Linked DNA regions of Rattus norvegicus. The protein of the gene in region 2 interacts with the protein of the main gene of each other region in a pairwise test. Links are inferred from orthologs where the notes say so. Each region holds a gene or a part of one and is shown on either strand. Other genes may lie near its edges.

The links.
Region 1: the proteins of Gad2 (region 2) and Arl6ip1 interact in binary tests that used the Homo sapiens proteins (3 or more experiments, as listed by UniProt). The two-hybrid records come from large-scale screens. The link is inferred for Rattus norvegicus from reciprocal best matches to the Homo sapiens genes GAD2 and ARL6IP1.
Region 3: the proteins of Gad2 (region 2) and Ldaf1 interact in binary tests that used the Homo sapiens proteins (3 or more experiments, as listed by UniProt). The two-hybrid records come from large-scale screens. The link is inferred for Rattus norvegicus from reciprocal best matches to the Homo sapiens genes GAD2 and LDAF1.

What each region holds. Positions count from the first base shown.
Region 1 is NC_086019.1:181,869,645-181,877,451, reverse strand, and holds the start of Arl6ip1 (ADP-ribosylation factor-like protein 6-interacting protein 1), read left to right. Parts: upstream 1-3,219; 5' UTR 3,220-3,274; coding exon 3,275-3,310; intron 3,311-5,808; coding exon 5,809-5,942; intron 5,943-6,388; coding exon 6,389-6,508; intron 6,509-7,807. UniProt on the Homo sapiens protein: Positively regulates SLC1A1/EAAC1-mediated glutamate transport by increasing its affinity for glutamate in a PKC activity-dependent manner.
Region 2 is NC_086035.1:89,668,608-89,676,414, forward strand, and holds the start of Gad2 (glutamate decarboxylase 2), read left to right. Parts: upstream 1-3,110; 5' UTR 3,111-3,183; coding exon 3,184-3,259; intron 3,260-3,945; coding exon 3,946-4,005; intron 4,006-4,196; coding exon 4,197-4,346; intron 4,347-5,320; coding exon 5,321-5,554; intron 5,555-7,807. UniProt on the Homo sapiens protein: Catalyzes the production of GABA.
Region 3 is NC_086019.1:183,923,168-183,930,874, reverse strand, and holds part of Ldaf1 (lipid droplet assembly factor 1), read right to left. Parts: intron 2,488-7,707; coding exon 2,319-2,487; coding exon of another isoform or gene 2,301-2,318; intron 1,839-2,300; coding exon 1,700-1,838; intron 1-1,699. UniProt on the Homo sapiens protein: Plays an important role in the formation of lipid droplets (LD) which are storage organelles at the center of lipid and energy homeostasis. In association with BSCL2/seipin, defines the sites of LD formation in the endoplasmic reticulum.

The DNA.
Region 1 (7,807 bases), on a different chromosome or scaffold from region 2:
ATGTTACCTGCATTGTTTTTTCGTTTTAATTGTGGTTGTTCTGATGTGTGAAATTTAAGGAAAGAGCCATTTAATAAATGCCAAGCAGGGCAATGCAGCCAAATATTAGAGTTGATGTGCAGTCTTAGGTCCTTTTTAATCTGGGGTATTATAGGCAGTACTTTAAATCAGAGTCTTCCTGGCCTATTTCCCTCCACCTTTTTGTAGTTACTCGGGGGCTTACTTGTGCAGTACTAAAATCAAAGGAGCTGGTTCTTCTTTTCCCCCAATCTTTTCTTAGTAATGAACACACCTACAACTAGCCTGCTACTCCTATTCATACACAGCAGATGTCAGTGCTGTGCTGCTAATATTAGCTGGATTTCCTGCAGTGCAGGGATGGAACCTTGCACATGCTAGGCAAGCTTTCTAACCCTGAGCTACATACATCCTAGCTCTTAGAACTAGCACCCTGAAGCATCTTTGTTTCATGTGTCAAGATGCGGACAAAGACCAACATTGTTTTTATAAAAATGCTAGTAATTTAGAACCCTGCCCCACCCCCTACCCCCCAATCAAGGAGGCAAAAATTAATGCACTAGTCACTGAAGACTCCATCTTCAGTTACCTGGATAGGATAGATTCCTCCTAACAAGTACTGGTGAGCATCACAGTGCTTTGCAAAGATTTAAGAGGAGGCAGTTACTGTACTTCGCCTGCTTTTGGGCCTAGATAACATCACTGTTTATTTACAAAAAGCAAACAGCTTGGGTTTGAAAAGGCAGCCATGTAGAGAAAACTTGAGAATTGGGGCTCACTGGGAAGTTCTAGTGCTAATGTTAAAACCTCAAATCAGCTGGATATTTGAAGATGGTAAAGAATTGGATATAGTCCTGAAACATTTTATTTTTCTAAAACAGGCTGATTAGCAGTGGTGGTTTTCCCTTTTTCTGACAGTGTGTTTTAGCTCCTGTTTCAGATTTCTGTGTTATTTTTTCCAATTTACAAGTCCCTTAAGTTTCCACCTGGAATGTCAGGTGGCAATGACATCGTGTTCTTTTTTTAAACCCTTATTTAAGAACAAGTTGAGTTGAACTGAATCTTCCTTGTCTTAGTAACATTGTACAAACAGTGGCTTTTTTTTAAGTTGTAATGCCTTCTGATGGATATAATTTTGTGCTTGTATTTAAGATTAAAAGTTGAGTAAATAACACCAGCTTCCTGAAAATGTCCATAATGCATCTTTTGAAAAACAAAACACCTGCCTACTTTACATTAACATGGTAAAGATTGTATGAAATACCTGTTTTTCAAAAAATAAAGGTTCAAGATAACAGTATCTAGGCTCTGAATTTATTGAAGTGGATCCCAGAAAGTTTGTTTTGGAATACAATTTTGTGACTTTCCCCCCCTATTATCTCTCCAAATTAAAAAGCTCTCAAAAGAACTGGAGAGATGGCTCAGAGGTTAAGAGCAGTTCCAGAGAGAGGTCCTGAGCTCAATTTACAGTAACCACATGGTGGCTCACAAACATCTGTAAAGGGATCCGGTGTGTCTGAAGACAGTGACAACGTGTTCACATACATAAAATAAATCTTAAAGATCTCAAAAAAAAAAAAATCCTTTTTGAACAGCCATTCAAAGGTAAGGATGGGTGAATCTCTGGTTTCTAGGCCAACCTGGTCTGTAAAACAAGTACCAGGACTGTCAGGACTACACAGAGAAACCCTGTCTCGAATAGCAAAAGAATGTATGAAGCTCAGTTTTAGCAATATTTAAAACAAAACTTTGACCCTTATTCTGAGTGAAAGAAATGAAAAGAATATTTGGGAAGAGTTCATTTGCTATGCCAAAGTTCTGAGGAAGATTAGTGTAACGGGCTTCATCATCTGACACATTTCAAAGGTCACTCCTCTTTGTGTTAAAAAAAAAAAAAAGATGTTTATAACCCTTGGGCCAATTTGCAAGGTCAGTGAGAGCTGGATTTGGACCTGGGGCTGTCCTAAATTTAATCTTAAATTTTACTTTGGGAACACCGATTAAACTTGAAGCTTTCTGAAGCAGTAGCCAAGTTACCAAGGTAGAAGTGACAGATTTTAAAAACCCTCTTTTTACTCTTCTGTCCTCTTAGAAAGTGACTTCCTGGTACCAGGTTAGCTTGGTTCAGCTGTTTTGGTCCTTTTGTTCTCAGTACTGAGGAGGCGAAGGAGGGAACTCCAGGCCTTACAATTTTCGATATGATTTATCAGCCGAGTCATAACCCCCCACCCCCACCCCCACCCCCCATAACACACACACACTCTGAGCTGCTTTGCTGGTCAAAACGTCTGACAAATTGCCCCTTTGATAGAACCACCGTGGGCCAGAAAGGACCAGGCTTATTTGGGCTCACTATGTGGTCTCTCAGGTTTCTTTTAAACTTCCAGGGACTTTAAAGAACCTGGTAATTTGCTTATTTATTTTATTTTTTAAAGAATATAAATCTAAGATAGTTGAAGTCCGTATTTAGCATGGCTTCCCCATAACACCCATTAATCAGTTCGAAGCGTTCCATCATCTGAATTGTTCCTCTACCCATCCATCCCTCCGAATGAAGCGCTCCCCTAGCTACCTGAAGTACTCAAATCAATCAAGTGAAGCGCCCCGCAAATGATTCCCCCAAAGTCTGGCTGCAAATGACGCCCTTTAAGAGTTCGTGCATCTTTCGTGTTCTCAAAACGCCTGTTAACACTGTTGGCGAAAAGGCAGCAGCATTAGGCACAGGTGCTCACATGGGGACGCTTGTCTTCCAGTCAGCAGGTGCCACGGGAACCTAAAAGCGTCCCTTGCCCATCTAGCCTCCGCATAGGATGCCACTGCGCATCCTCTACTCAGCTGAGCAGACAGGCCCCTCGGCGCCTTTGAGATACAGCAGAAGACAGGTAGGGAGTAGAGAGGCCACAAACGTTCAGGAAGATTTGGGTGAGAGACTAGCGACGGCGGTTGAACCGCTTCCTTCCGCTCCGCCTCCCGCGGGCCACACCCCTGCACTCTGATTGGCCAGAGTCTTTCAGCTCCGCGCAGCTTCACTCTCCTTTGACCTGGATTTCAAGTCATGCGCTAGCTGCCGGTTGGCCTGGCTTCCCAGAAGCCGGAGTGCGGTCTATCCAATGAGGAGCGAGTTTCGCGAGGGCTGTCGGGAAAGGCAGCGAGCCTATATAAGCGGCCTGCGGGGCGTTCCCCCCCGCGCTCGGGTTACCGTGCTGGTGTTGGGTTTGGTGTGTTCGCGCTCGTTGATAACCGTGCGTCTGGAACGATGGCCGAGGGGGATAACCGCAGCAGCAACCTGCTGGTGAGTCGCAGTGGTCAGTTTGTCTCCAGAGCTCCCGGATGGACCTCCTGGTCTTGGTGAACTACAGGGGCAGCCAGGCCTGATCCTGGGACTCCCTGCCCATCTCCACGGTGGTGGTCCTTGCTGCCGATCCCCAACGTCCCCCGGGGAGCGTGCACTACAAGGCTTGGACCGTGAGTGTGGAAATGTGAGAAGGGGTCTGTGGCAAGAAGGAACCTGGGTAGCAGGTTGGGGCACTCGGCCGCAAGGGGCCTTGTCTAGCGTTCCCGGCTCAGGCCGGAGAGACCTACCTGTTTTGCCCTCTGATCTTAATTTCATGTTTCGTAGATTATTATTATTTTTTCTTTTTTTCGGAGCTGGGGACCGAACCCAGGGCCTTGTGCTTGCTAGGCAAGCGCTCTACCACTGAGCTAAATCCCCAGCCCCTCGTAGATTATTTTTAATCATGATTCTTTTTTCCCTAAAACTTGGCGCAAGGATGGAGGGTCAAAGGGCTGCTACAGAGAATTAGTTTATCGCTGACACAGAATTTGTTGGAGTTGCTTGGTTGGAGTTCACCGCAGGAAGCTGAAAACGGGTTATGCGGAAAGGACAGTGGGAGATCCTGGCACTTGTCTGGGAACTGACGAGGGACTCACCGGACTGGTTGCAACTTTAAAATGATTAGCACAGATTTTTTTTTCTTTTTTTTCGGAGCTGGGGACCGAACCCAGGGCCTTGCGCTTGCTAGGCAAGCGCTCTACCACTGAGCTAAATCCCCAACCCCGATTAGCACAGATTTGAAGGAGCTGCAGGAGATGGTATTAAAGGAGGGCATGTTTGCTTCATTACAAGTTTTTGTTTTTGTTTTTTTAAGGCTAGGTTTTCGTGTATCCTGACCTATCGAGGTTAGCCTTGTATTTGTCATCCTCCTGTCTCCACCTCTCAAGCGCTGGGATTACAGTTGAGCATCACCAGGCCCTGTTTTAAATTTTAAACTGCACGTAGGCAAGAACGAAAGATCATTCCCCTCCCCCCGCCCTGTAATGTCATTCCCCAGAAAAGGCAGACCATATCAGAAATGAAAATAGCAATCAGATTTTAATCAGCTTTTTCACTTTTTCTGAGAGCCTAAGTGCCGACAAGTGACTTTGGGACAGTTTTGATTGTACAAGATTTTCAGTTTGTATTCGTGTTTAAATGTGAATGCCCTGTATCCTTGAATTCCCTCTACACAGACACACACACACACACACACACACACACACACACACACACAGTACATAAGCAAACAATCCAATAGAGATGCCTGCCCTGCATCCTAAATCTTACCCTACACAATACACATACACCAACAAACAATCCAGTAAGAGGATTAATTGCTGTACAGGGAAACTCCCACAGGAGAGGGCCTCTATTTCCATCAATGCAGTATCATTTTAAGGAGAGCAAGGCCATTAGTCTTATGTTTCCTGGATTTAAATATATTAGCCTCTTTGTGTCTCAGTCTCCTCATCTTAAAGTAGAGGTTGTAAGAATACCTTTTCCAGTTTGAGGAGCATTAATTGAAGTTTAACATGTAAAAGGTTAAGAATTTCTAGTGTGGGGTGACGTCAGAAGTTCTTAGTCACATATTTCATCTTTACTAAAATTAGCCTCAACCGTACTATCATTTGCATACTACTTTGTGAAAAGTTGATGTATCGGTTGAGCTTTGTGTGTTTGTGGTTCCTGGATGTTGAATCCAGGGTTCTGCACAGACTGAGCAACTGCTGGGTTCTAATTTCCTTCCTTTACTAAAGTCCCTGATAGGTCTAGGCCACAATAGCCCATGGTGAAGGTACGCTTTTGACTGGTTGTCGCATATGCAGAGAAACTTTGAGATTTAATTGAAATTCCATCATTAACAAGAAGAAGCCATTATGGAGAACTTTTAAGTGCTGAGGTCACATAATTTGGTTAGAATAGTTTTCTTTAATTCCACAGTGACTGCCAATACCAGAGTTATTCTATTATACTATTAATAGTATAAATACTATTATGTATTTAGTATTAAGGGAAAAGTTCTCCTGATGGATTTAGAAGGGCTTAAATCAATAAATTGACCAATCAACAGATCAATGCCAACCACCTGAAATGAGCAAACAGAATATTCAATTTAGTAATATTCTGAGCACTGCCTCATGGCTCTGTGGGTACATTGGGGATATTGGTTAACCATATTAAGCTCACCTTCATGAATATTGAAATACATTGTGAAACCTTGGCAGTATGATGATACATCATGGACATGTGTCCCAGTGCTAAAGTGACCATTAAAGCCTATGCTTTCTCCTGCCCACGGATTTTCATGTTTGTGTACCAAAAGTGCAGTTTTTCATGACTCACCTTGTTTAAGATAACAGTTTTGTTAAAGGCATTTTATGTGTATTTGATGACTTAGAAAGATTTTACTCACTTGAGCCACCAAAGTGTTGAGATTGGGGAAGTGACACTGTAACACTGTTGGTCATGCGTAGGCCGTGGAGACTGCAAGTCTTGAAGAGCAGCTGCAAGGCTGGGGAGAAGTGATGCTGATGGCTGACAAAGTCCTTCGGTGGGAAAGAGCCTGGTTTCCACCTGCCATTATGGGTGTGGTCTCCCTGCTGTTCCTGTAAGTGAGAGATTCTATTGCTAAATGCTCCGAGGGTTCATAGCCTATGCTTAGAGAAGCTTTTGTACTACATAATCCAAGAGGAATGCCTTTATTTCAAGCAGCTTGCCCACTTTCTAGAATTTGTAGTCCTTATGTAAAATTGTAAGTTAATACTGTTGAATAAATTCCAGACACTCAAACTCTTATTTCAACACTCTTGCTTTATATTATTTTCTACTAAATATTGAGGTCTCCAGAGTTTTTGACTATCGTTGTTTACATTAAGCACTTTTTTAACTGTGACAACATCATGCCGTGGTACCTCGAGAAAACCCTTTGTGAGGAAATTAGAAAGGAAACAGCACCATCTCTGAGAAGCTGAGGGTGAAGAGTGAACCTCTTTGACTAGGAATAATGACCACTGTGGTTCTCTAACCTTGGTTAATTTTCTTTGTTTTTAATAGGATTATCTATTATCTCGATCCATCTGTGCTGTCCGGTGTTTCCTGTTTTGTCATGTTTTTGTGCCTGGCTGACTACCTTGTTCCCATTCTAGCACCAAGGATTTTTGGCTCTAATAAATGGTAGGTGGCTCTGCATGATTAGTGTGCTGTGCTTAAAGAAGACGATTGTCTAGCCATCAGATATCTTCTAGGAGTTAGAGTCATTGCTCTTAAGTGAAGAATTTCATACCTAATTTCAAATGTATATCAAGAACTTTTAGTGCACTATCTAGTTCACTTTGGTCAAAAATTTGCTTTTGATTGTCTATTTAGTTTTATTTCTATACCTTAAGTAAGGATATTTTTTAAAGGTGATATTTAACTAAGAATTCCAGAACTCTTTTTTTTTTTTTTTTAACTACATAATGTTTGTTTGAGGGGTAGGGGTACATGCACCATAACATGCATGTGGGGATCAGAGGGCAACTTTCCAGAATTTGTTTTTTACCATGTGTGGGTCTTGGGATGGAACTCAAGTCAGAAGGTTTTGCAGCGTATACCTTTGCCTACTAACCCCCTCAGTGGACCTTGAACTCAACTTGTTTAAAAGTGTCTCTTTGATGTGTGTGAGTCTTTGCTTGTGTGTATACTTGAGGACAGTTTCATGTCAAGCAAGGTCAGTGGCCCATTCTCTTGTTAAATGTGTTACATTGTATGGTCACCAACTTTCCCCAAACACAACAGTATTAGGTCATTATGGCAACTTAAGAGAAGGTGGAAGGACACCCCAGGTGTTTGTTCTTGCCTTCACTGGTGCACCCAGCACTTTTAATCCCAGCACTTGGGAGACAGAGGCAGAGAGGTCTGAGTTTAAGGCCAGCCTGGTACGGTATGGGCTACACAGAGAAGAAACTCTGATAAAATCCTACTTGTAGAGGTTATTAGACTCTTAAGCTTGATCTTTTGAGCTGTGAGGACTGGTACACACCTCTAATCCCAGTACTCTGGATGACAGACACTGAAATTAAGGCCAGAGTGGGCTACAAACACATAACAAACTCTGGGCTTGGCTTGGCTACAGAGACATACTCTGTCACAGACACATGCAGTGCTACACCCCCCAGAACAAACCAAGAGGGATGTTATGTTTAAGGTTGAGTTGAGGGGGTGCATTAAGGCAGTGCAGGGGTGGTTGACCACGTGTATTCTGAGAAGATGAGAGTAGGTGCTGTTGGATACACATAAGCTGTTGATTTTAGTTTTGCCATTCTCAAATGGTTGCTTATGATGTCCTCAAATTATAGTTAAGTAGTTAAGGATTACATTAATAACTCTTTGAGCTTCCTGTGGAATGTTGGCTTTCTCAGTTTTGATCCAGACATGGAGCCAGGCCCTGCAGGTGTAGCCCAGTATCTAGAGTGCTTGCCCAGAACATATGGT
Region 2 (7,807 bases):
AGAACTTGTACCTGGCACCAGAAAGCTGAACAGCAGAGCTCACAGACCGATGATACGGGGGAGACAAACGTTCAGGTGTCCAGGCTGGTAGGCTTCCTGTGCCCCACTGTCCCACCTGGAGGAGGTGCGTTAGGGTGGAGCTGGGCTCTGCTGCTTGCCAGAGCTACCCTTTAATCCTGGTTCTAGTGGACCCTGCATCACATAGTCCTCGCAAGAAGGTCTGCAAAGGTATATTCAGTTGCTGAGTAGAGACACAACAGGCACATCTCCCGCAGACCCAGCATCCCAGGTTAAGTGAGGCTGGAAAAGGAAGATTGCAACATCTAGTTGTTTCCAAATCCTTTCTTTCTGTCTAGCCTTTTTCAGTCCCTCCACATTTAAGCAACAAAAGAGAAAACTTGTACCAAATATCCTTCTTTGATTCCCCCCCACCCCCCACTCCCCCACCCCCCTCTACGGAGATTTCTGGGTGGCGTGAACAAGGAATAGGTAATCCCACAAAACCTTGCAGTGGGCTATTCTGGAGATTTTGGCGTGGGTCTCCTACTTTAGAGGGGAAGCTATCAGTCTTGGTTCCCAGTCTGCTGCCTCCTTTGTGAACTAATGACTGTAATTATTACCTCCCAGAGCTCTTTTGTTATCAACAACCAGGAGCCTGGGGGGGGATGGGCCCTTTGGGGAAAGGGGAAAAAAATTTACAAAGCAAATTGCTGTCTAGGAAGGGTTGGAATTTTTTTAAAAAGACAAACCCAATTTCAGCCTGTATCCGAAGTGGGGAGTGGCAATGTTTTTTAATGTAAATATCATTAGATTTTTTAAAAAATTCTCAGAGCTGTGGATTCAATTGCATTTCAACAGTACTGCTTTAAGTCACTATTTTTGACGAAGTTAAATTCAGATGTTGAGAGTCTGTCCTCTTGTTTTCATCCATTTCTCCCTTGTGAGGTGTGTGTGTGTGTGTGTGTGTGTGTGTGTGTGTGTGTGTTTATGAACCATTTTATTTCTGACCACTCATCCGTGGTAAAAAGCTTCGACCCCAGCCAGCTGGCTTGAAGAGAGAATTATTTGCAGGATTTGGTATGGATTTAAACAAAGACCCAGGCTCTCCAAGTCCTGTTGGCAAGGCTGGGTGGAGAGAGCGCCCAGCATTCCAGGAGATGTTGCCTCTGCCAACCGAAGTCACCAGGCCTGGAGTACCCTAAAGATTGACCAAGTTAAGGCGTAGGGTCAAGATGACTACCTTCCCTCAACATGCTCCTGCTTTTGGCTTAGAGACGTGCCTGGGTAGCACCTCAACAGGGTCAATCACACTCCCCACGCCTCCCTAGTCCCGCGACTTCTGTGGGCATCCACTATCTAGATCCTCCCTGGCCGTCAGGATTCTGGCAACTGGGAAGAAGTAAAGCTTTGGGGAGAGAATGCACTTGGAGGCCCAAGACTAGGGCTTCTGTACAGTTACCCGAGGTCTCAGGATCCCTAACAAAATAAGTGATCCTGGTCGCCAAAACCAAGTAGGGTCCCTGCTCAGGCAAGAGCTTTGGTGCCTTTTTTGAAAACTCAAAAGAAGGAACGAAGAAATGCTGTGGAGACCAGGGAGACTGCAGCCCCTTGCTCAGGGAGCGCAGGAAAGGAGATCCGGATGGCTGAAAGCAGCACCTTCCCGCTAGTCTTTCTTGAGCTATGTGTAAATCGGAAACCAAGGGTCTAGTATAAGCAAGCCAAAACAAAGCGGAGTCTGAGGGCCCCACATCTTCCTTAAGGCGCTGTCGCGCAGTTTATGGGCCTTTAGGGAAGAGAAAACAGAAAGGATTGTTTCATTCCTTTATTAGAAAACACAAACGAAACTACTTCTCTCTGGGCCGGGAAATTGCCAATCTTGCGTTCCTAGGCACCTCCTGACCTTAAGGACTCTTCTGGGGGAGGGGAGAGGTCAGTGGTTTCAGTACTCCTGAAACTACCCGAGTGCCTTTTCTCCTGGAATTTGAAAGTCTGGTTTGCTTACTTCGAAAACCCCTGAATCCCGCCTAAGCACAGGTGCATAAGCAGCAAGCCAAGGTCACCAAGTAACCGGATCCCCTCCCCCATCAACCATAAATCCTGTGGTCTGTGTCAGCTCTCCGCTGCTCCCTTTCAAGAAGTTTCTGTTCGTTTTATTTATTTAATTTTTCCCAGCCTGAGGTCCTCAGTGATAGACTCCAGCGTGGATTTTAATTGCTTCAATCAGCAGTCTTTCTCCTCAGCCGTCAGTCAAAACCTGGACGGTGGGTCTGGGGACTCAGCGCTTGACTGCACAGGAAGTGGACGACCCCCCCAGGCTGGCTCAGCTCAGTAGGCAGACGTTTTTAGGCTCGGCTAAGGAAGGAGATGAAATGAGTCCGTCTGCGTGGAAGCGATACACCTTCCTCCCTCTTTGGTTCCTTCCCCGTGCTCTGGAGCTCTGCCTGATTGCGGCCAGGTGGCCTGGGCTCTTGAGGTCACAGCGACCTCCGCACGGGTTTGGAGGAAGGAGGGTGCGAAAACCGCTTTTGCTCGGCCGGCCTCAGCCAGAGACAGCTCTCAAACAATGAGCCAATCGCTGCACATGTGAAGTCGCTTTCAGTCACCCCCCAAGATTGTCAAGGTCTCCCTGGTGCCCAGGGTCACCGAGGCCAGCGTGCAGCGGGCTGCGGTAGCACCCTGGACAGCGCGTCCCGGCCGAAGAGGACCTGGAGCGCCTGTGGCTGGGTCAGCGCTGCGCAGGCACGCCTCCCACCCCCGCATCTGACTCGCGCTCGAACGCACAGCCTCGCACCTCACGACCCAGCTCCTCCATTTCCCTTTCGTCACTCTCTGGTCTCCCCACCAAACTCCTCTCCCTAAAAATTCTCTTGGGTCCTTTCCACTTTCCAATCTCCAGACTGCGAGGATCAGGCTACTCCCCCATTTAACCACCGCGCAGAGCACAACGGCTCGTCCCTACGCCCTGACTCGAACACTCACACGTACGAGCACTGGCATACGCAGACAGCACGTTTCCTGTCCCTGTGTGACACCCACCCTCGTCGCGCGGCTGCTCCAGCCCTCGCGCGGTGCCCTCCTCCCGCCACACACACTCGCACACGCACGCAGGCGCGTGCAGGGTCGAGCCGAAGGCAGCTTGCCCGCAGCCACTCGGAGGCGACCAGCGCCAGACTAGCAGAACCCATGGCATCTCCGGGCTCTGGCTTTTGGTCCTTCGGATCTGAAGATGGCTCTGGGGATCCTGAGAACCCGGGAACAGGTAGGAAAACCAGAACCTGCAGCGGGAGAGCTTTGTGGATGGATTAGGGTTTGCCCGGCTACGCAGATGATCAAAGCTTTGACATCTGCAACAGGAAACTTATTCAGGCGCTTCGCCTGGCTCCCTGGGTTAAGTCCTTAACTGTGCGAGAACCCCAACCCCTCCCCTCAGCCCTTTGTCCCCCTGGGAAAAAGCCCAGGGTTGTCTCGGCCCCTTCCCCTAAACGTAGGTTCCTAAAAGACTGCTGCATCTGCTGTCATCGGAAACCTGAGCTTTGCTTAGGGACGTCTAGACCCCGGGCAGGGAAAGGCAATCTAGGAACCGGGTAGAGTTTAGGGTCTGAAAGGCAAGCGCGGCGAGAAACAAACATCCTCGGGTCTAGGAAAGCCAGCCCCGGCGCGAACAGGGAGGGTCTGGAAACCCGAGGACCTGGCGAAGAAGTGCAAAGGGCCGCGGTGTGGACTGCTTTCTTTCTGGGACACGACAAGATGAGGGCTGGTCCCGGCGCCAGGTTCCCTCGGGCTCCCCCACCTGCTGAAGGCAGAGTCGCTAGCCCGTGGCCGCTCTCGAGGTTGGCGCCGGGTCCCCAGACTCCGGACTCGGAGACCTGGTTCACTTAGAACGAAATTTCTCACTCCCCCGTCTGTTCTCTTTCCGATTCGCTTTTCCCTGCCTGGCGATTGCAGCGAGAGCCTGGTGCCAGGTGGCCCAAAAGTTCACGGGCGGCATCGGAAACAAGCTATGCGGTGAGTGGTGGCGCGGTTGGAGAGAAGGGCGGACAAGGTCGGGGGCGCACGCTGGCGGGATCAATGCCGCCTGCTCCGCTCGGTGCCTGCAGCCTATGTCGGCCCAGTCCCTCGGTTGCGGGTGGGCGGGGATGTGGGAGCCGGGACGGTCAGGGGCTGACCTAGGTCCGGCGCTCCGTGTCCTTGTCCAGCTCTGCTCTACGGAGACTCTGAGAAGCCAGCAGAGAGCGGCGGGAGCGTGACCTCGCGGGCCGCCACTCGGAAGGTCGCCTGCACCTGTGACCAAAAACCCTGCAGCTGCCCCAAAGGAGATGTCAATTATGCACTTCTCCACGCAACAGGTAAAGAGGTCGGCTGGCCAGAACCGCGCTCCACCCCGCGGACGTCTGTCCCCGCCAAGTGGGTGACAGAATGGGGTGGGGGTGGGGACTCTGAGAATCTTTCCCGGAATTAGAAGGATGTGGGGGTCTGTGTGCTGGAGTTGTTCCAAGAACGCGGCCCTGGCCTTCCCCAACCCGAATCGGAGACCACAGTGCCCTGCACTGGAGCAGCCTCAGATAGAGTCGGAGGTGGCAGTGGCAGCGGTGTGCGCCACAGTAGGCTTCTTGGTGCTGCCCCAGCCTCTGGGTAGCACAGATTTCCAAAATGCCCTGGGAAGTACTTCGGAATTGCAGGGAGTTTTAGGTGTTCCTTTGGATCCAAAGTAGTTTGTAACCGTTATTTCAAAGAGGAACGATTCTGTTTACCTGAGCCCTAGGCGCTAAATTTTACCTACGCATTCATGACTCTCTGGCTTCCAAACACTGCGTGAACTCGCGCACACACCCACACCTCCTCCACACACACACCCCAACTTTGGAAAAATCTGCCCTTCAAAAAAGCCAGATATCATAACTTGGCATAAATCACTTTTCCTGGTTTGCTGGAAGGTATTTCTCAAACATTTCGGAAGTGGAGTATTGACAAACCATTAAGATGATTTACTCAAATAGACCATTTGGGACAAACGCTTGTGAAACGGACAAGCTGAAACACTCATCTTGGGGAAAAAATTAATCAAGCAACGTAATTTGTTACAAATAAAATGCAAAACTTAATTCCGGGAGGTTTTATTTGCTTGTGTTTCTGGATGCTTTGGTTTTGTTTGAAACAGGGTCTTCTCTCCCTAACCAGATCTGGTCTCCGATTTCCAGAGATCCCCCCTTACTTTAGCGTCCTGAGCACATCAAATCAGTTCAAAGCAAAATTGCCCGTTCACTAATTGCCAGGGTCTTTGTAGTGACACCTAAAATTCCGTTCCCATTCCGTTCTTCAGACCTGCTGCCAGCCTGTGAAGGAGAAAGGCCCACTCTCGCATTTCTGCAAGATGTAATGAACATTTTGCTTCAGTACGTGGTGAAAAGTTTTGATAGATCAACTAAAGTGATTGATTTCCATTACCCCAATGAGCTTCTTCAAGAGTATAATTGGGAATTGGCAGACCAACCGCAAAATCTGGAGGAAATTTTGACGCACTGCCAAACAACTCTAAAATATGCGATTAAAACAGGTATTGTGCAACCAGTAATAATAAAGCTATTTTTTCCTTTTGCAATTTTATTTTTTCCCTATAAAACCGTTTTTCTTATGGTGGGTCGTGTTATTTCCAAAATTGCAAAGTTACATTGGCTTAAAAATAGTCATTATTGGAGTGATTCAGAGGCACCTTTCTAACAATAACCGAGCCGTAGTCGGGGTATAAATTATGAGATTGGCAAGGAGATTAATTGGAGGTTGTAGGAGCAACCATTTGTCAGCAGGGGCCAGTACCCAAAATGAAGAAAGAAAGGGAATGTTGAAAGGGATGCTGTAAAGACTAAAGATGCGATCCAGTACACCTGAACTGCATGTGCTGTTGTCAATTTTCTCCACCTGGAACTAGTCAAGAACCCCTGCTAACCAGCCTGTGCAATCTTCAGGCTCGAGGGAGAATGCTGTAGCATTGTTTCAAAAGACTTAATTTTAGATTTCAATTCCAGTTTTTCTCCTGGTTTGAAAGAAGTATGGAGGCGCGCGCACGCGCACGCACGACCCGCTCCCCCCCACCCCCCACCAATGCTTAGCAGCCCAGTAGTATTACTCAAGGATTTCTCTCCTTCGCTTATGTGGATAAGAATACCCGAATTGTTTAAGGGTCCATTTAAAGATGTGTGTTAGGGTCTATTAGAGTCTCACAGCCTCCTTTAAAACTGGGTAAAATGATGTTGTAGTCCAGGGGCAACATCATTCGTACCTCCAGAGCTTTCTTCCTCCCAGGTCCTGAGTGCCCTGCTCTTTTTCTCTACATTGTCTCTAATCATCTTGATACATGGTGAAACAAAGTAAAGTGATAAATATGAATACCTTTATGAGGTGGAGGAGGGAAGGCTTATGGACTTACAATGATTTGTAGACGTAAAAAAATGTGCTAACGAATGTGAAATATTAAGTAGGCATGGGTTACCATGCAAACGTCATGCTTTATGCTGCCATTTTTCCGGTAGTTTATTAGTAAAACAAAGGACAAACATTTTAAGAATTTTGCTACAAAAATGGTTTGGCCTTTTTTCCCCTGAGCATTCTTTATATGATTAGAGAAGAAAGATTTGCATAGACGCCTTGGAAAACTGATTTATTGTGTAATTATAATCCACTTTGTAAGACTGTAGACTTGGAAATAGAGTCGAGCCGAAATGAGCTGAACTTGATTTCCAGGGAGTATAGACATCTTTTAAATATCGTCAGTTAGTCCTCCTGAAACACCAACAGAATATACACGCCAAGCATGTGAGATACTCTGCTCCCAGTTTCTTTGCATGTACCCACCAACCGAAGCTTGAGCCATGCTTTTAATCTGTCTCTGCTTGACCCATCCCCCACACCTGACATTTAAATACGCTAATGGCAAAACTTCCTACCATTTGTTTATGCTGCTCACAAATAAAAGAGAACACGTACTTTTTTTTTTTACCTCTTTGTTTTCAAAAGCTGCCAGCTAGTCTTCGAAATGCAATTTAGAATTAAGATAGTGGGAATTGCCAGGCAGTGGGAGTAATAGTTCTATATATCGATGCTCCACCATCGGGGAATAAATGGGTTCGTTAAATTATCAGATTGTTGCTATAAGTTTTGTAAAACTGTTAGTCAAATGTTGCTGTGGTGCATCTCATTTAAAGTGAAGATTAAAATCTATTAGATTAAGATGAATATCTCAATATTACTGATGCCACGTTTTGTCTTCTGCCCTTATATCCTTAAATAGCACTTAAAAAAAAAAAAAGCATGCATAGGCAGCCTTTGTCTTCAACGGAAAAGCTTGTAGCTTCTTATACTGTTAGTGTCCTGTTTATCAGCTGACACTACCTAGTCCATCAAAGCAGTTGCACTCCCTGTCCCCATCCAGTATTCTTATGATCCTTTGAAGATCATTTTATAAAATGTCACCTGGCCCCTCTTAATTTAATTTCCGTCTGGCCTGGAGCTTTATAAAGGATTGAAGGGCAGTGGAGATTTTTAAATGAGACGTCTATGTCCTGTTTAAATCACTTGTAAAGAAGCGGTAGAACTAGAAACTTCCATGGGTGGTAGGATTCTAGCACGGTATCTGCAGGTATTTCTTCCTTTATTTGTGGTAGCTGGGAGGCATAGGTTCATGTTAATGTAGTCTCCAATCTTTAAGAGAAGCCTTAGACAAAGGAAACTGAGCCCAATGTAAGAGGCACATTCTTCCGTGGGTTGTCAGTTCACAAAAAGCAATTTTAGAGGACGTCTGGCTTCTCTTCAT
Region 3 (7,707 bases), on a different chromosome or scaffold from region 2:
AAGACTGAAGCTCAGGGTACTAGTGGGGTTTTGGAGCATGGACTGGCAAGTCAATCAAGGCCAGAGGGGGCAAATTTGGCAAGCCATCTGTCTTTGTGGAGTCTGAATAAAGTTTTATTGCAACACAGCCAGACCTGTTTATTTGTTTAACATCTGCTCTCACATTGCAGTAACAGAGCTGAGAGGCTAGCCATCACCTAAACGGCCTAGAATGTTTACTAGGTGTCCCTTCGCAGAGATTGTTGGCCTATGTTTTACAGTCACTTTATATTTTCGTTGAGAATATTACCATACCTAATGGATCTAGATTTAAGTCCCTTCTCAGCTATTCTCAGCTTTGGTACTTGGCTTTCCTTTATCTATCACAGAATGAGGCTCACCCTTAGAGTTACATGGAATGTGGCTGGAAAGTGCTCAGCACAGACTCTGGCACTAAGTAAATACTCAACAGGCCTGGGCCACAGCTATCAAACTAGTGGAAGCCTAGGTGAAGGACAAGGCAGACTCAGTACATGGGGACCTAAGAATCTACAATCTATACACAGCACAAAAATCAAGTATCGAAAAAGTGCAGACGCCAAACCCCGACACTACTGCTGAGGCCAAGAAGGGCTTGCTGACAGGAGTGTGGAATGGCTATTCCCTGAGAGGTTCTACCAGTACCTCACTAATATAGATGCAAATACAGCCAACCATTGGCCTGAGCCTGGGAGCCCCAATGGAAGAGCTAGGGGAAGGGCTGAAGGAGCTAAAGGGGATTGCAACCCCATAGGAAGAACAATATCAACTAACCAGATGCCCCAGAGCTCCCAGGGATTAAACCACCAACAAAGAGTACACATGGAGGGACCCATGGTTCCAGCTGCATATGATGGCCTTATCTGACATCCATGGGAAGGGAGGCCCTTGGTCCTGTGAAGATTTAATGCCCCAGTGAAGAGTGATGATGTGGGACTGGATGAGTGGGTGGAGGAGCACCCGCATAGAGGCAAAGGGGAGTGGGCATTGTGGAGGGGAAACCAGGAATGGGAATATCATTTGAAATGTAAATGAATAAAATGATGAATACGTTTTTTAAAAAGTGGCCTTTGAAAGTCCCTTGAGGAGCAGGGAGGAGCACATCACAAAAGATTGTCTCCCAGGCACTCCAGCGATACTAGGTTTCCCTCCAACATCTAAAAGGTCACTGCTCCCCCAGTCAAGACCCAGGCGCCACACTGTGTGTAGGGCTGGGGGAAGAAACTCCACATAGTAAACATGAGCCATTGTGCTGGGAAGATCACACTGGGATGAGCTGAGGAGACCAAGGTAAATTGTGAGGACAACAGCTTCCCAACTCCAAATCACCCTGCAAGGTAGGCGTGGCAACCTGATAGGTGAGCCTCTTCCCTGTTTACCTCCCTTCCAACCCTCCTAAACTTGGGCCCCATTTGGCCTTTGTAATTTAAATAGACACCCTCTTAGAAGAATTAGTAAGTGCCCAGGAAGCTACTCCAGCTCTATGGGTGATGGACTAGGGAGGGTAGCAGTAAGAAACTCTACTGTAAATGTGTAGCTGATATGCAATGTCTATGGGCAACTGTGAGGGACACCTGTTTCTTATAATTTGGCTTCTAGATGTCAAGTGGGATTATCTCTGGTTATCTGTGTGAATCCCCCAAATGACCAAGATTAAGTTGTTCCATTGACTTGTATTTACCTTGGAGAAAACCAGTAGCTCATGAGGCAGGAGACCACCACATAGGACATCATGGTTATCCCTGACAAGGCAAGCGATACGAAGCCCAGGCCACAGAGGATGCAGAGCAGTGAGAGACCACAAACAGAGATGACCAGGCCTAGGAGGAGAGTGTGGTTAAGATGTGCCTTCATCTGAAGCAGGCTGAGAATGGGAAGACCCAGCCCAGGTTATTTAAAATACTGACAGCTGACTCAGATATTTTGAAGTCAGCAGATTTCCCATAAAAAATTTACATTTCTGACATTTAAAATAGTTATATAGTTCAACACCTGAGTAGGCCTCAGTTTCTGGCATCAACTAGCTGGACCTCTCTTTGCCTCGTTCCCTACCGTTGATAAACTATATTACACTTGGGGGTCTCTCTGCTCATTTGGTTGCCAATTTAAGGCTCAGAAGGAATGAATTATGTCTCAGATTACAGTGGTAGTGAGGGATGCACACAAGAGCCTGTGTTTTAACCCCTCTGACAAGCTGCCTTGGACCAGAAAGAGGAGCCTTTGATGAGAATGGCAGATGGTCAATAAATACTGTCCAGCTTATTGAGTTACTTCCCAGTTACCTTGGGTAGAGTGAGTACCTTCCAGTAATATGGCCCCCATAAGAGCACCCAGGGAGGTGAGCACCACGATGAGCAGGAAGAAACCAACAGGGATGGCTGACATGGTAACAAACATCAGCACGGTGAGAACCAGGAACGGATGCCTGTCCAGGAACCGGCCCACTGGGGACTTCATAAAGGCAACCACCTGTGGGCAATGGATGAGGAGCCAGGGTTAAGTGCTGGGTCCACATCTCAGGTTGAGTTGATCGGCCCCAGCTGTGGAAAGTACAGCCAGCATCAGAGGCCTCTGGCAAGTCAGAGGCCCATGGGCATCAGTACAAAATATCTCCTAAGACATGAGGAGCTTGCACCTGGCAGCATAAGAGGCAGCTGTGGAAAGGGTGGCAAATGTGAGGTTCACCCACAAGTCCTGTGGGTGAAAGAAAGGTACTACTCTCTTGCCTAACACACGGCCTCTCAGAAAGACACCCTCTTATGTGTGCAATGTATATACAATATGCCTACTGTTCCTCAGGTAAGATTTTCATGGCTGAGGTTACCAAGGAACAAAAGGATTAAGTCCTAGATGTTTAGCGTCACTCAAGTGCTTAATGGAGATGTAGAACATTAGACCCCACCTGGCATCTGTTGTGCCCAATCTCGTTTTCCACATGATTTGTGTGTATGGGGAAATTCAAGATGCAATGGACTAAATGCTTTATTTGGAGTCACCCAGTTTCCAAGCCTGGGTATTCAAAGCTAAGATCTTTGACTCCAGATGCTAAATGCCTGCAGTGGTTTGCCACCACATCAATGCTTTTATGGTACAAACTGGATGTTTTGGTGGGCCACACAGCCTGATGATGATGACCATGTGTTATTTTAATAAACAGGCTACCCTACTTTGAAGACTAAGGAATGGGAAAGCAAACTCCGTGGAGAAAGCTACCCAGCACACAGCGGATCTTAGGATCTTAGTCAACCCCCAGAGGATGAGCATCCCGCCCACTTTTCAGGACTCAAAGCTTTACTCTCCTCATTACTGGCATTGAGGCTCATTTCTTCAAAGATCCCATCATTCAAAAACCTTCCTCTAGAGAAGTAACCACCAATCCAGCTACAAAACCTGCAGTGTACAACCGTGATCTGTCTGCATGACACCTAGGTACAATAGTGGTACACATGCTGTGGCAGTAACCACTCTATGGCTGGATTAAGGCTCACTCCACAAGATGGAGCCCATGCTTGACCCTGCTCTCATGACCAAGAACCTAGACTAGATAGGCCACGGGCCTTGAGGAAAGCCAAATACTATTGTTCTGCTAAAGGAGCACAGCAATAAAATTACTTCTAACTACATTCTACTACACTCACAGATCAGTGCTTCACTCAGCTACCATGAGAGAAACATCCTCTTGCAGTAGACTGGAACTAATGCAAAGACCCACAGCTGAAACATGTACAGAGAATAAGAGATATTGGAATACTCAGTCTTAAATGGGATGTCTTAGCTAAGCTCCTCCTCCCAGGGTTCAGGGAGCTATGCAGAAGAGCTAAAAGCCAAAGGGGATGGGAGGCTCCAAGGAAACAGTGTCTTCCAGGCACAACAAGACTGATGCACACATGAACTCAGAGATGGGGAAGCATGCACAGGGCCTGCATGGGTTCAGGCTGGACAGCATCCCAACACTGAGAGGGGTAGGTGGGTGCCCTACCCCACAGCATGCACTGCGACAGCATGTGTACCACTATTGTACCTAGGTGTCATGCAGACAGATCACGGTTGTACACTGCAGGCTTTGTAGCTGGATTGGTGGTTACTTTTCTAGAGGAAGGTTTTTGGATGATGGGATCTTTGAAGAAATGAGCCTCAATGCCAGTAATGAGAGTAAAGCTTTGAGTCCTGAAAAGTGGGCGGGATGCTCATCCTCTTGGAGGAGGAGGAAGAAGAGAAAGAGGAAGAAGGAGAGGAAGAGGAGGAAAAGGAGGAAGAAGAGGAGGAAACCAGGATGAAATATATTGTATGATGAAAAGTTTTTTTAATAAGAAAAAACTGTTCGGAAAAAAGTGGAAGCTGAAGTGGAAGGGTGGGCTTCCTCCATCAAAAGTTGGTCTTTCCTGTGTCTTGCTCCTTAGGGCATTGGAGGCCAGTGGCTATTATTGAAAATGCCTCTTTTCCCCCAAAAGTTCCACCAAAGAACTACTAAGCCTGATAAACAACCTCAGCAAAGTGGCTGGGTATAAAATTAACTCTAACAAGTCAGTAGCCTTTCTCTACTTAAAGGATAAACAGGCTGAGAAAGAAATTAGGGAAATGACACCTTTTACAATAGTCCCAAATAATATAAAAAATACCTTGGTGTTACTCTAACCAAGCAAGTAAAAGATCTGTATGACAAGAACTTCAAGTCTCTGAAGGAAGAAATTGAAGAAGATCTCAGAAGATTGAAAGACCTCCCATGCTCATGGATTGGCAGGATTAATATAGTAAAAATGGCCACTTTGCCGAAAGCAATCTACAGATTCAATGCAATCCCCATCAAAATTAATCTCAATTCTTCATAGAGTTAGAAAGAGCAACTTTCAAATTCATTTGGAATAACAAAAAACCCAGGATAGCAAAAACTATCCTCAACAATAAAAGAACTTCTAGGGGAATCACCATCCCCGACCTCAAGCAGTATTACAGAGCAATAGTGATAAAAACTGTATGGTATTGGTACAGAGACAGACAGATAGACCAGTGGAATAGAATTGAAGACTCAGAAATGAACCCACACACCTATGGTCACTTAATCTTTGACAAAGAAGCTAGAACCATCCAGTGGAAAACAGATAGCACTTTCAACAAATGGTGCTGGTTCAACTGGAGGTCAGCATGTAGAAGAATGCAGATCAATCCATTCTTATCACCAGGTACAAAGCTTAAGTCCAAGTGGATCAAGGACCTCATCATAAAACCAGATACACTCAAACTAATAAAAGAAAAAGTGGGGAAGAACCTCCAATACACGGGCACTGGGGAAAATTTCCTGAATTTCTCAGCTGAGGAATATTGAGTGGCTGAGAAGTACCTAAAGAAATGTCCAACATCCTTAGTCATCAGGAAAATGCAAATCAAAAAATCCCTGAGATTCTACCTCACACCAATCAGAATGACTAAGACCAAAAACTCAGGTGACAACAGATGCTGGTGAGGATGTGGAGAAATAGGAACACTCCTCCAGTGTTGGTAGGATTGCAAACTGGTACAACCACTCTGGAAATCAATCTGGAGGTTCCTCAGGAAATTGGACATTGCACTACCTGAGGACCCAGGTATACCTCTCCTGGGCATATACCTAAATGATTCTCTAACATACAACAAGGACACATGCTCTACTATGTTCATAGCAGCCTTATTTATAATAGCCAGAAGCTGGAAAGAACCCAGATGCCCTTCAACAGAGGAATGGACACAGAAAATGTGGTACATCTACACAATGGAGTACTACTCAGCCATCAAAAACAATGACTTCATGAAATTCATAGGCAAATGGAACTAGAAAATATCATCCTGAGTGAGGTAACCCAATGACAAAAAAACATACATGGTATGCATTCACTGATAAGTGGATATTAGCCCAAAAGCTCAAATTACCCAAGATAAAAATCCATAGGCCACATGAAGCTCAAGAGGAAGCACGACCAAAGTATGAATGCTTCAGTCCTTGAAACGGGGAACAAAAATATTCATAGGAGGGATAAGGAGACAAAGTTTGAAGCAGAGACTAAAGGAATGGACATTCAGAGACTGCCCCACCTAGGTATACAGCCCATTTATATATAGCCACCAAAACTAGATAATATTAATGAAGCCAAGAAATGCATGCTGACAGGAGCCTGATATAACTGTCTCCTGAGAGGCTCAGCCAGAGCGTGACAGATGGTTTGCTAGCACCAAACCATTGAACTGAGAATGGGTTCCCTGTTGGAGGAATTAGAGAAAGGATTGAAGGAGCTGAAGGGGCTTGCAACCCCATAAGAACAACAATACCAACCAAGCAGAGCTCCCAGGGACTAAACCACTAAACAAAGACTTCTCTGGATGCGGATGTAAAGGTCTTTCAGCCCTCTGGATTCATGAACCCAAGTAAAACTCTTTCCTCAGTAAGTTGCTTTGATCATGGTGTCTTATCATAGCAATAGAAAAGTAACTACAACAAAACTGTTTAACCCAGGAATTGCTTTCTCTGAGAGAGAATGGTCATGGTCAGGTCACAATGTAGGGGAAAGAGATGGTTCATCCACATCTAACACTTATACCCATTAAACACACATTCCAGGTAAGCCTGTCCCAATAGGCTTCTGTCTGCCAAGTGCAAAGCCAAAGTAAGCATGGCCAAGAAGGCTTGCTACCTGCAGCAGGTGAGGAGAGCACAGGAGCCATTTCCAAACCAAGACTTTCTTCAAACAAAGGAAGCATGGGGTTTTTAGTCAGAGAGCCTACACATATCCATATAGGGCTAAGTGTGGAGAGCTTTGGGGACACTTGTAGAAACTTGGCAGGAATTTGACGTTGGGCCAGGACATGGAAGTAAGTCAGGCAAGAATCTGATTTTGGGCTAGGATCAGGAAATAGGCTCAGATTAAGAATATTTACATTTGGGCTAGTGGGTCCAGCCAAGGCGTGTGTGGCGTTCCTTTTGTCTCTGTCATCCTGATAAGCCCCATAGAAACGTTGTTTATGGGACTTTGTTCACTGCCTTGTTTGCTCCCTGACTATTCGTGTTTATTGCCTTGTCTGTTTCTTGACCTAGAACTGATCTCATTATTTTGCATGTACTTAAAATGGTATAAAAGCAGAGTGTGAAAAAATAAACCTGCCTCGGCCTTGTAACTGGTTGGGGTCGTGCTAGTGTTGTCTAATTGTCTTTTTTCTTTTTAATCTTCTATCTGTCCTGTTGACTGACTGAGCTGGCTTGAGCTGGCTTGGTCAGGTAAGCACACTCCAGAGGCATGCTCAGTTCAAGTCAGAAACACCAGACAGTCATAAACTCCTCTGGGCATGCCTCCTCTGTGTGTGTGTGTGTGTGTGTGTGTGTGTGTGTGTGTGTGTGTGTGTGTGCTCATTTGAGTGCCATGTGTGGGCAACACATTTGAAGTCAAAAGATAACCTCAGTTGTTGTTCTGCCAGCAGCACTAGCCAAGTTTATTCTGAAACAAAGTCTATCACTGGCTTGGGACTTACCAAGTAGGCCAGGGGGGGCCCAGGGATCCATCCACCAGTCTCCGCCTCCTGACGCTCACAAGTATAAACTATCACTCCTGGATTCTTTTACAATGAAGGTTCTGAGAACACAACTCAAGTCCTCAAGCACTTGTCCTGCCAACCACCTCCTCAGCCTCATTTTCTTCTGAAGTTTTAACTGAAGAAGAGCAAAGG